3 linked regions of the Cricetulus griseus genome follow. The protein of the gene in region 2 binds, or shares a complex with, the protein of the main gene of each other region. Links are inferred from orthologs where the notes say so. Each region holds a gene or a part of one and is shown on either strand. Other genes may lie near its edges.

Evidence for each region.
Region 1: the proteins of sodium leak channel non-selective protein (region 2) and Fam155a are in contact, whole or in part, in a cryo-EM structure (PDB 7CM3), measured with the Homo sapiens proteins. The link is inferred for Cricetulus griseus from reciprocal best matches to the Homo sapiens genes NALCN and NALF1. Residues at the interface, in NP_001337678.1 of Homo sapiens: Cys207, Val209, Asn220, Leu222, Ala223, Ile224, Pro225, Thr227, Tyr237, Pro240, Phe243, Tyr406, Glu409, Phe909, Ala1044, Lys1045, Asn1047, Pro1049, Arg1054, Ile1060, Arg1062, Ile1063, Asn1064, Val1065, Ser1066, Lys1069, Lys1080, Lys1081, Gly1083, Phe1084; in NP_001073865.1 of Homo sapiens: Lys278, Glu281, Phe282, Val285, His287, Lys288, Tyr289, Leu290, Gln291, Glu294, Tyr295, Ser296, Val297, Lys298, Ser299, Tyr308, Trp311, Leu312, Gln315, Leu335, Gln338, Thr339, Cys341, Phe343, Ile344, Leu345, Pro346, Asp347, Asn348, Asp349.
Region 3: the proteins of sodium leak channel non-selective protein (region 2) and Unc79 are in contact, whole or in part, in a cryo-EM structure (PDB 7SX3), measured with the Homo sapiens proteins. The link is inferred for Cricetulus griseus from reciprocal best matches to the Homo sapiens genes NALCN and UNC79. Residues at the interface, in NP_001337678.1 of Homo sapiens: Gln349, Met350, Phe351, His352, Glu353, Gly358, Trp359, Gln360, Leu361, Phe712, Ser713, Ile714, Arg717; in NP_001333147.1 of Homo sapiens: Cys861, Gln862, Ile865, Glu968, Pro969, Asp970, Phe1020, Gln1022, Pro2088, Asp2089, Ala2092, Pro2093, Leu2095, Leu2096, Met2099, Leu2139, Pro2141, Asn2142, Gly2143, Ile2144, Gln2147, Leu2148, Ser2151.

The regions. Positions count from the first base shown.
Region 1 is NW_023276807.1:70,699,041-70,704,512, reverse strand, and holds the start of Fam155a (transmembrane protein FAM155A), read right to left. Parts: upstream 3,801-5,472; coding exon 2,865-3,800; intron 1-2,864. UniProt on the Homo sapiens protein: Auxillary component of the NALCN sodium channel complex, a channel that regulates the resting membrane potential and controls neuronal excitability.
Region 2 is NW_023276807.1:273,144,193-273,149,184, forward strand, and holds part of sodium leak channel non-selective protein, read right to left. Parts: intron 4,343-4,992; coding exon 4,192-4,342; intron 2,471-4,191; coding exon 2,321-2,470; intron 19-2,320; coding exon 1-18. UniProt on the Homo sapiens protein: Voltage-gated ion channel responsible for the resting Na(+) permeability that controls neuronal excitability. NALCN channel functions as a multi-protein complex, which consists at least of NALCN, NALF1, UNC79 and UNC80.
Region 3 is NC_048598.1:103,081,733-103,087,361, forward strand, and holds the start of Unc79 (protein unc-79 homolog), read right to left. Parts: upstream 3,801-5,629; 5' UTR 3,786-3,800; coding exon 3,698-3,785; intron 1-3,697. UniProt on the Homo sapiens protein: Auxiliary subunit of the NALCN sodium channel complex, a voltage-gated ion channel responsible for the resting Na(+) permeability that controls neuronal excitability.

The DNA of each region.
Region 1 (5,472 bases), about 200 Mb from region 2:
TTGATCTCTACTTATTATGAATTCAAAACAATTACAAAATAAACAAAATAAAACAAAACAAATCATAAGCTAATTCATAGCCCATGCTAGCCTGGAATGGGGCAGTCTTCCTGCCCCATCCCCCACAGTGTTACTGGTAACTTTCACTTTTCAAGTCATATAATTATATGGGAGGAGTTTTAATGGTTTTTAAAATGCATAACTGGTCAAAAATGATCTTTAAGAAATGTTACATGAAATTTTATTTTAATGCATCTGTATTTTATGGAACGGATTTCCAATGCAGAGAGAATATAAAACTAAATAATAAATCTTAACTGAAAAAAGTTAGATATCACTGCTGCAAAACAGCTAAAGAAGTTAATTAGTTTCCCCTATAATATGAATACCACTAATTTATAATCCTAACAGGATGCTATAGATCTTATCTACAATAAGTATATTTATAAAACACTAAAATCATATTTTATGTGTATCCTGTTAGCAATTACAGAGACACAGTGTATTTACTTTTAGCTTACATCTTTCAGATAGCCTGTCCTTCTAGCCTATCCCTGGCTTTGTAACTGCTTAGAAAAGGAGGGGGAATTTTTTCCCAGGAATCTGAAGCAAGCCCCTGACAGTAGTCATTTTGTAATTGCAATTATGGTGAAATAAGCAAATGTTTTCAGGAAGTCAGTTCCAACCTTCAAATTCAACAAACATTTTAAGCTGTCTTTTATACTTTGTATGAAGATATATATGGCTTTTTTCAGAATCAGGAAGATTATTCATTAGACTAAGGAAATATGCATCAATCACTTTCTCCATATAACCAGTTTGTTTACTTACCTTAAACCAAGTATAGTAGCACTTTAAACTTCAATTCATATATTTTTAACTATCTATTATAAAATTAGTATATCCTACTGCCACATCTCTATCACCAACAAATGAATGCAAGACGTCGAGGCATCTCCAGTAATTAATTCTGTTGCACTGAGAAATAAAAACATCTATATTTACTTTCCGATGTGAAGAGTAATTGTTTAAGAGTGAAGATTTTTATAGTGTTAACAAATTCTACTTTATCCAAAAATATAAATATAATCTTAGAGGGCCTCCTGACATCATAAAATAATTACAGTAGATCTTTCTATTATAGACCTAAACTGCATGTTGAGAGTTAATTCAGATGAAGACAACAATAAATACTTCATGTGTTTGGACAGTTCCACTAAGGTAGAGAATGGCTGCAGTCCATTGACAACACATACTCTCTCTTCAGTACTGAGCTAACGAAATTCAAATTACAAGACATGTTCAACAGGGTTCACAGTCACAGCATTGTATAAATTCAAATTTTCGCCATTGCTGTTAACTGCAAATTATCTATGCCACACTTTTTACTAGTAACAGAACTACCAATCATTTCCTTATCTTTATGTTTTCTGTGACAATCCCATCAGGGTAAATAAAAATGCAGTGTATGCATTAGTCATTTATTGTTAGGTTCTATCTCTAAAGCTGATTTTTCTTCCTAGGAGTGAATTCCAAGGTATGTTTAAAACACACATGGAGAACTTAAATATTGCCTTATCTACTGAAATGAAATTTTGATTGATGTGATAAAGTGACAGTTTTGAATTCCAGTCCAAGTTTCTGATCTTAATAAAAGAAAAAGAAAGAAAAACCATAAGCAAGGTCATCTTAAGTTTAGCTAGACTGTAAGGTGTGGCTCTTGAGCTCTTCTGACTTAAAATGTAACCCCTGGGTCAAAGAATTACAGATCCTTTGATGTTAATGATCCTTGACCCCTCCTCCATTAAGGGCAAGGGAAGGAGGCCCCTGAGGACATGGGGTCCAGGAGGTAGGAAAGGGAAGAAAAGTTATAGTGTCTTATTTCTTTTGAAAAGCAACACAACTTCCTTGAGTTCTTTGGTAAACTAACATCCACACCTCTGGTGTCTCTTCTTAGCTAAAGGTCACTGCAGAGCCTTCAAAATTTAGGCCTCCTTGAGCAAGCCCCATTTCAGAACCACGGACAGCAGCAGCCCTGGGCCTCATACTCCAGTTTCCAAGAAACTCGCCTAGACTTTCCCTTTGTTTATCAGCAAGGTCACACACAGGCCTTGTTCACTATAACGCAAGCTATTAATTATTTCCACGAATTTCGACCAAAGATTTGTAATGTACTATTTCTTCAGAGTATACAAAAAAAAAAAAACCAAAGCAATTACATAAGGTGTGTGATCACCAGCCTAACATTGAGAATCAATTGGTAGAGAGCTAATTACAGCCTTCCACTCATGTCAATAACTATACAGATGACTAAGAAAACAGGAGGCTTAAGGAGAGCAGGCCTAGACTTTCTGAGGAATAAGAGCTACCCCCCCCCCATTAAACCCATAAAATGTGTTCCCTTGGCTGGTGGTGTTGTTTTGTTTTGTTTTTTCTCCCTATATCAAGAGCTACACTTTATCTTGTTCCTGAGGCCAATCAACTTCAGTGTGTGGGAAGTGAAGAAGTGATGCTGGTCCACCAGCCTTCTCCATGCCTGTCTCCAGCCAGCTGACTACCTGTGTGCATTGGTCCCCTCTCTATCTTCCCGACAAGCAGTAACAGAGTTTGAGCCAATGGCATAGCTTGAAGAAACAGCAGCTAGAATCTTGGCTTGGTTATCTTGAAAGATGGACTTCCCTGATATTCCAAGGACGCTCGAAGGAAGGCATCAGGCCACCAGCAACTCCAGCAGGAAGTCAAGTTCTTATAGCCAGATTAAACAATGATTAAACTTATAAAACCCGAATCAGATAAACGAATGAAACAAACCAAAAAAAAAAAAAAAAGCTGCATTGAAGGGGAAAGGAACCCACTGCTCCTACCTTACAGTCCTCAGGGCACGACTTCACGGAGTACTCATCTGACTGTAGGTACTTATGCAGCACACTTTCAAACTCTTCGTACTTCTCCTGAGCGTGGTGGTCGTAGTCTTGGTAAGCTTCGACGCACTGTCTACACGTGGTCATCTCACCACCCTCCGTGAGCACCACGTCCAAACTGCAGTTCAAAGTGCTGGGACTGGACAGCCCAGAAAACAACTCCCAAAGTGTGTAGGAATTACAAAACGAAAGGTAAAAATCCGACAAGTTCCACAACGGAGTCGGCCGAGAGCCCCTGGACGACTGCTCCTCCCCCGCGGCCGCCCCCCGACTCCAGTTCCTGGCGCACACCGAGTCCGCGCTCTCCACGGTGAAGCACTGGCCGGAGGAGGCGCCCTGAGGGTAACAAGTCTCCAGGCGCCACACCGGCTTGGCAGAGTTTCCTAGAAAAAGAGCCCTGCTCCGGTTGTTCTTGCCTCGGTTGCCCTTGCTGCCGCCGCCACCGCCTCCCGGGGAGGGGGGCAGGGTGGGGGACGAGGAGGCGGAGAGGAGTCTGTGTGCCTGGGCGGCGGGCGAGGACTCCCCCATGCTGGCCAGGAGCGCGGGCCAGGAGGGCTCCTGCTGTCGCTGCCTCTGCTGCTGCCGCTGCCGCTGCTGCTGTCGCTGCTGCTGCTGCTGCTGTTGCTGTTGCTGCTGCTGCTGCTGTTGCTGCTGCTGTTGGTGATGCTCTTTGTCCCGGGTCCGGGTCAGCTTGGCCTCGGCGCAGAACCACAAGTGATCAGAGAGCAGGACTGTGAAAAACAAGAGAGAAGCCAGAGACAGTCGCCATTTCTGAGCCCGCTCTGAATCGATGAACGGTTTCTCGTTCTCCCGGGGTGCTGCCAACCAGATTTTTAAGCCGTCGTCATACTGCCGACACATCCAAGCACCCCTGGTCATATTTTGGGAACGCACAGCCCTGGCCGACTCCACCGTGAGGGCTCCTGTGCCGGTGTCACCACAATATGCATTGACTTAAAGGGTTTAATTTCCGTATCCCCTCCTCCCGTTTCTTCTCTCTCTCTCTCTCTCTCTCTCTCTCTCTCTCTCTCTCTCTCTCTCTCTTTCTGTCTACATAAATATTAACATACTTTAGAGAAAGATCTTGCTGCCCACCTAATCATCAGCCGACCCCATCCCCTTGAGAGTGGGAGACAATAGAGAGAGAGAGAGAGAGAGAAGAGAGAGAGAGAGAGAGAGAGAGAGAGAGAGAGATTGAGAGAGAGACGCGGAGGCTGGTGCTGTGCTGGCCGGTGGGGAGGCTGAGTGCGGGAGGTGATGGTGGTGGAGGTGGCGGGGTGGCTGGCGCTGCTCCTGTCACCCTGGCATTGTCAGCGCGCGGGTCCCCATGGCCCAGCTGAGGACAGCCCGCTCTCCCCTGCCAGGGGCATGCCGCGTCTCCGCTGCCCACTGACGGCGACCGGAGCGCCTCCCCTCCTCCTCTCCTCCTCCTCTTCTCCTCCTCTTCCTCCTCCTTCCTCTCCGTCGCTGGCTTCTCCTCCGCCTCCCGCGCCTACTTCGCGCTGGCTCTCCCCGCGCCCCGAGCCTGGGCGGCCGCCGGCGGAGCTGTCCCTCCCCCCCACCCCCACCCCGCGCTCCGACTGTCGCCGCGGCCGCTGCAGGTCTGCCCGCGGGCGCCGCCGGGAGCCGAGTCGCCTGCGCTGGGCCTCCGGAGGCCACAGTCATCTTCAGTCCCCGGGCTAAGTTGCCGCCATCTTCGTCCTGGAGGCACACTTTTTTGGGGGGAGAGCTGGATTTTGCGTCATCTCCTCCCGCCCCGAGGTCTCTCCATCCTGGTGCAGTGGCGGCGACTCGGCCCCGGGGAGGAGGACGAGGACGCTCCGGGCGGCGGCTTGGAGAGCAGCTGTCCGCCGCCCCCTCCGGGCCCTGGGCACCGAGGCTCTTGCCCTGGGCTTGCCGACCCTCCCCACTTTTTATTTCGGAGTCAGGACGCAGGCTGAGTGGCCAACGCTGCTGTCCAGGGTCTCCAGCTTCTCCCTACCCCGCAGTCCAGGGGACAAGTCCAAGCCACGGGAGGGCGACTAAGAGGTCCCTGTTGGGGACCAGGGGCTGGGCATAATTTCCCTCGCTAGACAGTCTACAGAAAGAGTAGGTTGACTAGAGGAGTGACGAGGTGACTTTGCAGGCTCAGCCTAAACGTTCTTCGGGTCCCTAGACAGCTCCGCCGCGTTTGCGTGTGTCCTAAATCGGTTTTATGGGTCGGAAAGGACGCCGGGTGCTCGTGTCTGTGTGTCTGCCTGCATGGTGCTGTTCCTCAGCACTGCCTGTGCGCTGCAGCTATGACCACACTACACTCCATGTCTGACCATGCTTCCTCCTCCAAAGTAAGAAGCAACAAAAGGGCTCTCCAGCCCTGGGGAAGCACCTCCAGTACAGTGCGCCCCACCGGCTTTATGCTTGAGGAGCCTCATTTCTCCAGAGGACCCCCGAGGACCCTAGGGCACCCGCATACTGTGCCTGCTGCCCAGGCCAACTGGGTGGGCTCCTCTGCGCCGGGACTTCCGCAGCGTCCTCCAGGCTGGCACTGCAGTCCAAGGCTCTGGTGCCCCTT
Region 2 (4,992 bases):
TTGCTGCTGACTGCTTGTCTACATGGGAGAAGAGTTAGTCAGTTGTGGGTCTTTCTCTTTAAAAAAATCAATTTAATTTGTCACAAATATTTGTAAAGCTTTATAGGGTATAGTATGGTAATTATCACATGTTTATAACATACACTGATGAAATCAGTATAATTCCCACTTTTGGCTCCTCAAATATCTACCATTTCTGTGTTTTTGGAACCTGTGACTTTTCTGGTTGTTTTGAAATATACCAGAGACTACATGTGACAGTTATCTTCACTGTCAATTTGATGGCCCTGGGGAAGCCCAAACTGATGACTACCTGGTGCTGAGGACTTGTAGGCATGTTGCCTCCATTTCTAACTCACCTGATACCTTGCTCTTTCCTAACCACTGTCATCTTCTTTTTGTTAGATTTACTTTACCTATCTGTCTGTCTGTCTGTCTGTCTGTCTGTCCGTCCCTCTCTCTCTCTCTCTCTCTCTCTCTCTCTCTCTCTCTCTCTCTCTGTGTGTGTGTGTGTATCTGCAAAACTGAATGACATACATGTACAGGTACCCATAGGGGTGAGGAGGGGGCATTGGATGCCTTGGAGCTAGAGTGATGGGTGTTCTTGAGCTGTCAGATGTGGGTATAGCAAACTGTCCTTGGGTCATCTGGAATGACAGCTGCCCCTCCAGCCCCTTACGGTCTTGGTTTTTCACAATACTTTAAACCCTTAAACACCAACCCCCACTTCGACTTTTGGATACCTTTGTGAGAGCTCTGAAATAATTACTTCCCCTTTATTGGTCCTGTCTCAAGTGTCTGTCTCAACCTGATCTGGCTCCTCCTCATAAAGCATTGCCAGATGTCTCTGGGTCAGACCTGCAGCAGGGCCACTGACTCCTCCTATAGAGTCTGTGAAGAAGTAGGAGAGTGATTCCTGGTTTCTTGTAGAGAATCATGAAACTCACACAAAACTGTACCAGAACATAACAGGTCCATTTGGAGCCTCTTCTGGGCCATGGAGCCTTATGCTCCAATTTGTCCCTATGTTGCTGAGCATCATGGGCTCATCGAAACTGGAGGCACTGCACAGTGTGCTGGATGGATTCCAGGTGATTAGCATCAAATCATTGCAGCCACATAAAGGTGTGGGGTCTCCCTGACAGCTGCTTCTCATAGCACAAGGCTCTCTGGCTTTTGTGGTTGTTGTTTTGTTTCTGAATACACATGTAGAAAAACTTTGAAAATGAAATTAGCTGTGTTTTAGTAGACAGAAGCTACTCAAATATTTTTTTCTTAATTCTATATGCTCCTCTGCTGCCCAAATAAGAAAGGATAAATCTCCAAATGCATTTGATTATTGAAGAAGATTGAAAGCCAAGTGCATGTATTTTGCTCATTTTACTGAAAATTTCCATGGTGTGCTGAGGGGAAGAAAATATTTATGGCAAAGCTTCATTTAAATCATAATCATTTAAAGCACATATTTCTATGCTCAAGCTTAGCTGTTATGACAAAAAGAAACAAGTAATTAACACTCAGGATGTTAACTGCTTTTAGTATATGTTTTCTGTAGTTTGGATCTTGAATGGCCTATAAGTTGATGGTTTGTTTCTCCAGCCTAAGATACTAATGGGAGGTGGTAAAATGTTTAGGATGTAAAGCCTAGTGGGAGAAAGTTGAGTTATTATGGGGGTGGGGTGGGGGCTGTCCTTGAGGAATTTGGAGTTCCATCCCCTTCCTCTCTCTCATGCTCCCTGGACACCACATTTCCCCACACACTGTCATCATGGTGTACTACTTTACTATAGTCCTATATAGTGAGTCAGCCACCCCTGGACTGAAACATCTCAAACGGAGAGCCAAGAAAGCCTTCCCTGCTTCTAAGTTGATTATCTCAGGTATTTTGTTTATTAACAGAAAGTTCACTAACACACCATACAAATCACAATTTTACCAAAACAAAAAACAAAGCAAAACCCTCAACTGGATTCTAAGTGATAAAAATATCTGGATGTACATGTTCTCATTATTTTTGGTTCTTTTGCAACGAAAGGTCGCCTTAAAAATGCTGTCACTTGGCCGGGAATTGGTGGCACACGCCTTTAATCCCAGCACTTGGGAGGCAGAGGCAGGCGAATCTCTGTGAGTTCGAGGCCAGCCTAGTCTCCAGAACAAGTGCCAGGATAGGCTCCAAAGCTACATAGAGAAACCCTGTCTCGAAAAACCAAAAAAAAAAAAAAAAAAAAAAAAAAAAAAAAAATGCTGTCACTTTGAAATGTCTGTGGCCAGAATCAACTGCCACAGAAGATCCTTGGATGAAGGGTACCTCATCTCCTACCTCAGGTTGCGTATTGTGGTCCTGGCTGTTGGCATTAGTGTCCTCGCTTGGCTGGGTGGTCTCGATGCTGGGAGGGTTCAGGAATCGACTCAGCTCTTGCTGCTGGCTCTCCCTCAGGCTGTGGATGATGCTGCATGACTGCTGCTGTTTCTGCAGGAAGATGCTGTGCTTTCATAAGGAGGAAAGGTAGGTGCCTGGCTTCTTTGCCCCACTCCCACCCATCACAGTGTTTTCTACCCTCTCTGAAGACCCATGGATTTGCTGCCCTTTTAGTAAGTTCCAAGTAAGAATCTCAAACTAGTTTTGAGACTGCTAGATTGACATATGAGCCCTGTAGATTAGAGGCATCTCCCACCTTTTATATTTGTAGAACAATTGGACTTGTTATGCTCATCTCTGCTAGTTTATATGTCATTTAAAATCACTAATGTGTTTTATTTTCCCTTCTTATTTAATTCTATCCTTATTTAACCAATACCAGCCTCCTTCCCCCACTTTCCTGAAAGTTGTAAGCACCAGAGAGTCTTTAGTAGATGAGGAGGAAATTCGTACTTCTGTCTTGGTTCTGGACTTTATAGGGCAGCCTGGTAGGCCAATTCAGCAGTAGCTTTTTTTTTCCCTGGCCATGGCTTCTCTCGTAGGGTCTGAGCAGGACATTTGTAATCCATATAATCAGCAGAGCTATAGTGGCCTTGCTATGATTGGGTTGCAGTCGGCAGCTGGCCTTGCTCTAGAAGGTTGGGTTAGAGTGTTTATTTTCTTAGAGTTAATTTTCCTCTAACAGAAGTGCATGTTTCTGTGGTGGGTGTTGTTCTGAAGGACAGGATCAAACAAATCTTACATAACATTAATTGCATTGTAAAAAGCATTTACTGACTGTTTTGCCTTTCTTCTCTGTATGTGAAGTATAAGTCAAAAGCATTCATAAACATTAATTGCCCAATAGAAGTACTCATTAGAAACACAGTATATTCTAATGGAGTATACAGTCACTAACAAGTGAGAGTCTCATACAAACTTACAGTTGAGGAGGCAGCAGGCACATCATTAAAATTCCATAAGAGATGGTCTTCAGAGACCAGGCAACATGATAAACCATATGTTGGAACTTTCTGCAGCAATTTAAAAGTAGTTTTGCAGATTTTATCCCAGTAGATATTTTGGGATTTTCTACAGTTGAGTTTAATAAATGGAGATCATAAATATTTTAATATCCATAAATTGCTTTTTAAACCTTCATGCTATACAAATTTGATTCAGTTGAGATGTGTGGTGGAGCCTGCTGAGGGGAATGAGCCTGAAGCTGGAGTGGAGTTAAGGCTGTAGCAGCACCAGACACCCTGAGTGGATGAAGATGGTGCACTTTTAGGGGTATCAGGCCAGTTGTTGGAGGGTTGTTCTGTTGAGGACATTCTTATCTTTTGCCCTTCTTGTTCTGAGTGTGTGTGTGTGTGTGTGTGTGTGTGTCGGTGTTAATTGTCAACTGGATGGAAGCCAGAATCGTTTGAGAGATGGGTTTCTGGGCATGCTTGTGGGCGATTATCTTGATTACTGGTGTGGGAAGACTTACCATAACTGTGAGTGGGACCTTTCTATGAGAAAGGGATCCCAGACTATACAAAATGTGGATAGTGGGCTGAATACTGGCATATATCCATTCCCTCCATTTCCTGATCCTCGATGTGATGTGATTACATAACACATGTCATGTGATTAAACTCCTACCATCTTGACTTCCCCTGTATAATGGACAGTACCCTTGAACTGTGAGCCAGGATAAGCCTTTCTCATTTAAGCTGCTTTTGCCAGAGTACTTTATCACAGCAACAGGAAAGGAAAGCCACCAGCCCTGGTGCTCGTGGTTCACTCACAGCCCTGATGCGTTTCAAGCACTTCTTCAGCCACATGCGAATGGTCTGCTTAGCCACCTCCTCCTCTATTGTATACTCCAGCTGCTCCCTTGCCAGCAGCTCCTCCAGCTGCAGACTCTTCCTGATGTCCACAGAGCGGTAGGAGAGCATGCTAGAATACAGGAACAGCAGCGACACTGGTTAGAGTCCTCTGGTGTTTAGAGCCTCTGGTGTTCAAAATGCAGAGAACACATCTTTCCAGACACTCAGTGTAACATTTGATGCCATCTGTAATTGGATGAGGGGCTGGTTGTGTCACCTCTGTGGCTCCTTTCTCTTGTGTGAATGCTGAGGATGGTCTTGGCACCTATCTCATTGAATAATCTGGCAAGCTAATATCTATGAGATACTTCGAACAGTGAATGTATCTAAGTGCCTATGCTGAAGAAGACTCTGACAGCTCTAGCTGTCAAGTACATACTCTAGAATGTTCTCTGCAGAAAGAAGATTATTCCTTCCACTGTTTCTTTGTGGTTAGCTCTAATTACAGATGGTTGATATCCTTGCTTGTGAGTTGTGTGTGCCCCACTGCACTTCCCTGTCTATTTCATTTATCACTCTGTGTCTTCTTTATTAATTTCAGAAGACACAAAGCTAAAGCTGACTAATCACAACTCTCATTTAGACCTTGGCTCAACAGGTCCAGACCATGGTAAGTAAAACTAACATTTTTGTGCGGAGGGGCAGTTAGATAATTCCTAGCAGGGACTGACCAAAGGGGAATATAGACCTATCTTGTAGTACTATACACTTGAGTGTAGC
Region 3 (5,629 bases), on a different chromosome or scaffold from region 2:
ATTTAAATTATATCTAAGTATCATCTTCCAAAGATCCATATTTCAATTTGGACAACAAATCACAAATCCTTTATTGGAAAAAGAGAGGTTTCCATGGTGATGTGCAAATGATTTGTTTTTTGATCCTTAGTAACTCCTTTAATATACTTTCATAAACAATGTAGATTCTACACATATGGAATAAAGAGTGCAATATTTCATTTAAGGAAGGAGTTAATAAAAAACACATCAAGGGGAATTTTTATAATAAATTGATGAGTTATTATTTAAAAGCAGTTTAGGCATTAAGCAATTAGTGTGGCACTAAACAAAGTTGGCATGAACAGTAGGTATGCTACACATCCAATGCTTGGTTTGAGGAATTGGATCCACTTCAAAGCTCCAAACCGAATCATCTAAGTAATACAGACAATGATATGATCACTAATTATATAACCAGCAATTATGTAATCATTAATGACACTCATTTAGAAACTGAAAACAAAATCCATGCTTTACATTGCCTATAAGAATACCATATCAAAGAGAGACATTTTTAAATTTTTATATATTTGAATTACAAACAAGATTGAATTACATGACGATCCCAGTTCCCTTCTCCCTCCATTCCTCCTCTACCACACCCCCAACTAAAATCCTACCTGTCATATGTCCTTTCTTCTAATCTACACCTGACTCAAAATTTCTGCTTCCTCATGACCTCTGCATCCTTCTCAAAGGGAGATTTTTAAAACAGTCTTCCTGTCAATTTTGTTTTGTTGTTTGTAACAAGGTCTCATTGACCTTGAACTTGTAGTGTGATCCTCCTGCTTCATCCTCCCAAGTGCTAGCAATACAAACCTGAACCTTCATGCCCAGCAAGTCCTTCTGACAAAGACTATCAAGCATTTAGAAAACACAACATCTTTTATTCTAACATCTTTGTACTGAAATAAAACTATTCTGGACCAAGTTAAACATCCCTATCCTGTTTCAGTGTGAAGCTCTAGATACTGTAACAATTACCAAAAAAAAAAAAAAATAGAAACTGTGGATGAAATGACAAGGCCCACATCCTCACCACAGCCCATCCTAACAGGAATCTGAAAGTCCATCCCTTCTGTCTTTAGGTCTATGTATGAAGAAACAACTCAGAAATCTAGCAGCTGGCATGCAGCTACTACTCATTACAAAGATGACAAAAGACAGGCTCCTATTGAACTACCAGGAGGGTGCTGAGAAGCCAAGCCCAAACTAACGGACTAAAGCTAGAGTAACAAAATAGACCTGAGCCAGGTCTGCCAATGGGTTAGACAAAGGCATGTACCAATTATGTCAAATAGCATTTGATGTTATTCAACCTAGCATTATTAAGCCAGAAATAACCAGGGAGGTTCAACTTATTTTCTGAATACCCCCTCTTTAAAGCTGGAAAAATTATATCTCAGAGACATGAAATGACTTGTTCATACCTTTAAGTGAATATCAAGCCATTCCACTAATAAACACTGAAATTCACACGATATTTTTTTAGATTAGCATCACTCATTTTTAATACTCAGTTGCTTCAGATATCTGTGTAAAGAAAGGATTTTTAACATGACAAGGCTTATGTCTGGAAATCTCTATTTCTAATTAAGGAAGAATTGATTAGTCATCAGCTCTGAAAAAAACAAAGAAGCTGACAATACCTGATCAACCTTCAGTGTGGTGAGAAACTGACTGCAGTAATGTCTCTCCACAAATTACTAATTTAATTCTAAGAACAAGGGACACAGTGAGCTAGATTGTTATCAATAGGATACAGTCTCATCTGCTATTCATCTTTTTAAAAAATATGCCTGTTCATTTACTTAACAGTCAACTTTATTTACCTAAAAGTAAGATCTAAAAATTCTAAGACTATATCCATAAGCAGTGAGCACTGATTCATGAGACCACACAGATGAAACAGACAGTGAAATGAAGTATTCTACAACTTGGAGTGACAACCATCAGTCTACTCATTTCTCCCTGTTGTTAAACAATTAGGATATCTTAGAAAATATTTCATATCTAACTACTTGCTAAATGTTAGTTTTTAGCAACATTAAATACTTGATGAATATTTTTAAATAGTATTAGCAAAGAGTGTGGCTCTTTGCCTAAAAGACATGAAAATTACAGTTCTATACCTAAATTAAACTCACCTACAAGGTAAGCCAATATAGCCCAAAAGGTACACGTGTTTGCCAGTTGTTGAAACACAGCAACTTTAATAAGGGCATAAGTACATAACTTAATGTGGCTAGCATTGATACTAAGAGTTAGACATGACCAATGGAGCTATTTTAAAAAATAAAATAAAATCAAGAGAAGGAAAGCAGGTATGGTGGTGCACACCTATAATCCCAGTATTCAGGAGGCTGAGGCAGGAGGGTAGCCATGAGTGAATAATACTGAACCAACCAGGGTACATAGGAAAACCCTATCTTTAAAAAAAAAAGGAGAGAGAAAGAGAAGCAAATAAGACCTACTGCACAGCAGGCTCTGGGCTGGCACTTTATCAGTATCCCAGACTAATTATGCTAACCCATGACACCTCAAATACAGCCACAATTACTATTCGTGAGACACCTCAGGTTACTATTCATGAAGGAGCTGTGATTATTCACAAGAAAACTATGATTACTATTTTGCAGATAAAAATCAAAGGTTTAAATCACCTGCCTGAGCTCGCATAGCTAGCCAGTGGCAGAGCTGAGATCTGCATCTTGATCTGATTGAAGTCTAAAGCCATAATTTTTTCAGATTATTCCCTAAAACATAGGTTAATCCATGTATAAAGAACACTTTAGAGACTGTGATTACAGAAGCTGCAACTTAGCATTGTCTTCTCATTGTTTTCATGTCTGAGGACCCTGCCGAATTATTTCTATAAAAGTAGAAAAGTCAGGTCCAGTAACACACACCCATAACCCCAGCACTCAGGAGTCCAAGACAGTGGATCAAGAATCCAAAGCCATTCATGACTACATAATCAATCAAGTTCCAGGCTGACCTGGAGTGATGAGGCCCTGTCTCCAAAAATATTAATAAATAGACAAGACCGGTCCCAGGCTTGCGACTGTATCTTATACTGGAGTCATGAGCTTTAGCTTTTTTTCAAAGTGTGTCGCAAATTTTGACTCATTTTGTCATCAAAATACCAAGAAGGAAAAGCTGATTCAGTCATCAGCATCATATTAGATTTCAACCACGTGAAATGAAATTTCAACCACACGAAATGAGTGGCACAACACTTCCACAGCAACCTGAGACAGAGCTGGAGCCAGAGTCTACCTTTCCCTACTCTCGGCTGCCCTCTCCATCCACGCCCCGCCCCCCCATGCTCTCACAGGCAGAAGAGAGCAGTCTCCACACCAGACAACACTCTGTCCACCTTCTTTTCTAATGTGGAAAAAGACATTACAATTCATAAGCAGGCAACACAGAACGTCTTGACACATTCTTCCTATTTGGTGGAGACGAACTGAGTGAACAACATGTTGATTCTAAGGTATAACCCTCTTTCACATCATTGACTTCCAACTCAACGTAAATGCTGGAACAACAAAATTTAAATCATAGCAGGTAGACGGAACAAGTGATCCCGTTACAATCTTGAAAATCAAGCGCCTGTCAGAGTAAACACAGTTTCCATAAAGATAGTTTTAGGGTTAGGTGAGGTTGAACTTACATATGGCCATTGGTAGAAAAGATGTGCTAAGGTATTCAATAATGTCCTTGTGAAGAAATGGAGGAAAGGTAGCTAGCGTTGAGATCATCGTGTAGGGCAAAGTGCTCAGAACATCGTCACTGAGAAAGGGTAGCAAACACGTGGTTGTATAAAATATTGACTGTCCAAGATCTACAAAACAAAATTAAGTAGTCAGCCACTGAAGATGGTGCCAGTAACAAAACATGCCAGTTTCATATCTTAATTTTTAATAAGCTGGCTTAAATTATAAAAGCAGCTATTGCCCCTTCTAAGAGTTCAGAGATGTACTGCTCAGTAGAATGTGGGATGTGCATAGCAGTTAGTTGGTGAATACATTAAGAAATAAATCTGTTCCATGAGTTCTCATCAGTGTGTCAGTCATCTATAAGCCTCACTATTCAGATGACCCTTGATCCCATTAATCAAAGCACTTTCCAAGCGAATGCTGACACCCCTCCATTTTTTTTTAGCTCCATTGCATTTCAAAAAGTTAACTGAAATACAGTGATGTGTTAGAATTTTCAGAAAAGTCCAGGGCAGTATTAGAAATTAAAGCCTGGATATTTCTGTTACACCTGAAGTCTTGGGCAGCAAGGGAGTTTATAAACTCCAGGTTCGATGTGCTTCACAGAAAGAAAGATTTGAGCTGGTCCTGTACAACCCTGTGCCTTTAGCTGTTAATTGTCAGGAAAGCTCACTCTCCTCAAAATAACCTCTCAAGGCTTTAAAATGTGGGTAATAACAATACCTACCTGGCTTCATAGGAGTTTAGAAGAAATAAATACAGAGCTCAGCATAGCATGTACTCCAAAAACATTAGCTATTACTTATTGTCATTAATATTACTATCATTGTTACCTGCATGAGAAGTAAAAATAGAGGACCTTCAAAACAAACCACAACTCTTTAGCTTTAGAATGTATGAAGAATAAACCCATTACATTCAATGTACATTGTGATATTTCTGAACCTCTTGAAATATAGGCCCTCAGCCAAGGCTTGACATGAAGATGGATCACCTCTTTGTTCATTAAGATAGCGAAGTCTCAGACTCTGGTCTGCTTTGGCCCTGATTCATCTTCCAGAATCATGTGCATTCCTCAAATTATTTCTAATAGTCATAAGAATTAACATACCATATCCACTGGCCTGTCAACTGACAATGTGGTCAACACTCAACCTGAAGGGCCAAGGTCCATTGCCTTTGAACCCAGACCAACAAGTGGGAAATTCACAGATGTTTTTGTGTGAATTCCATGGGGCTGTGTCTAAGAGAAACCTCAGCTATTTTCAATGAGCCTTTTTTAGCCTTAGGCAAAAAAAAAGCCTAATTTCAGATTAAGAGCACCAAAAGGACCTAGAAGTCCACCTGGGGTATTTTCTACCCAAGGAAACATATCTGGAGAGAGTAGTGACTGCCCGAATCACAATTCACCCATAGTTGAACAACTAGTGTTCACTCCTATAGGCCACCCGGACCCAAAATGAGCCTCTAGCCATGGAGCAGTCAGTCAGTTCACAGAAGAAGCTTCACAGGAAGCTCACTCAAAACATCAGCTGACAGGACCACTCCTCAGTAATTCTTGCTGAAGAACTGCACACTCCAAGTTCCTCACGGCCCAGGTTGTGCAGACAGCCCTGAGGGAAATTGGGCTGCTTGGGCTCTCTAAACCATTCACTAGAATGAACTGGTGAGCTTTATCCTAGCGTCTAAGCTACATTATGCAGAAGAAGAACACAATAAATAAACATCAAGATAAGGTCACACTGCAGGCATAGGCAGGAGAGCAAAACCATAAATCATCAATACTAAAATTGTCTCGATTCACACATTATGTGGATTGCCATTTACCAAGTGAAATACCACAATCAAGAAATCTTAGAAATAAGGGCATCGACTCTGACCCCGTG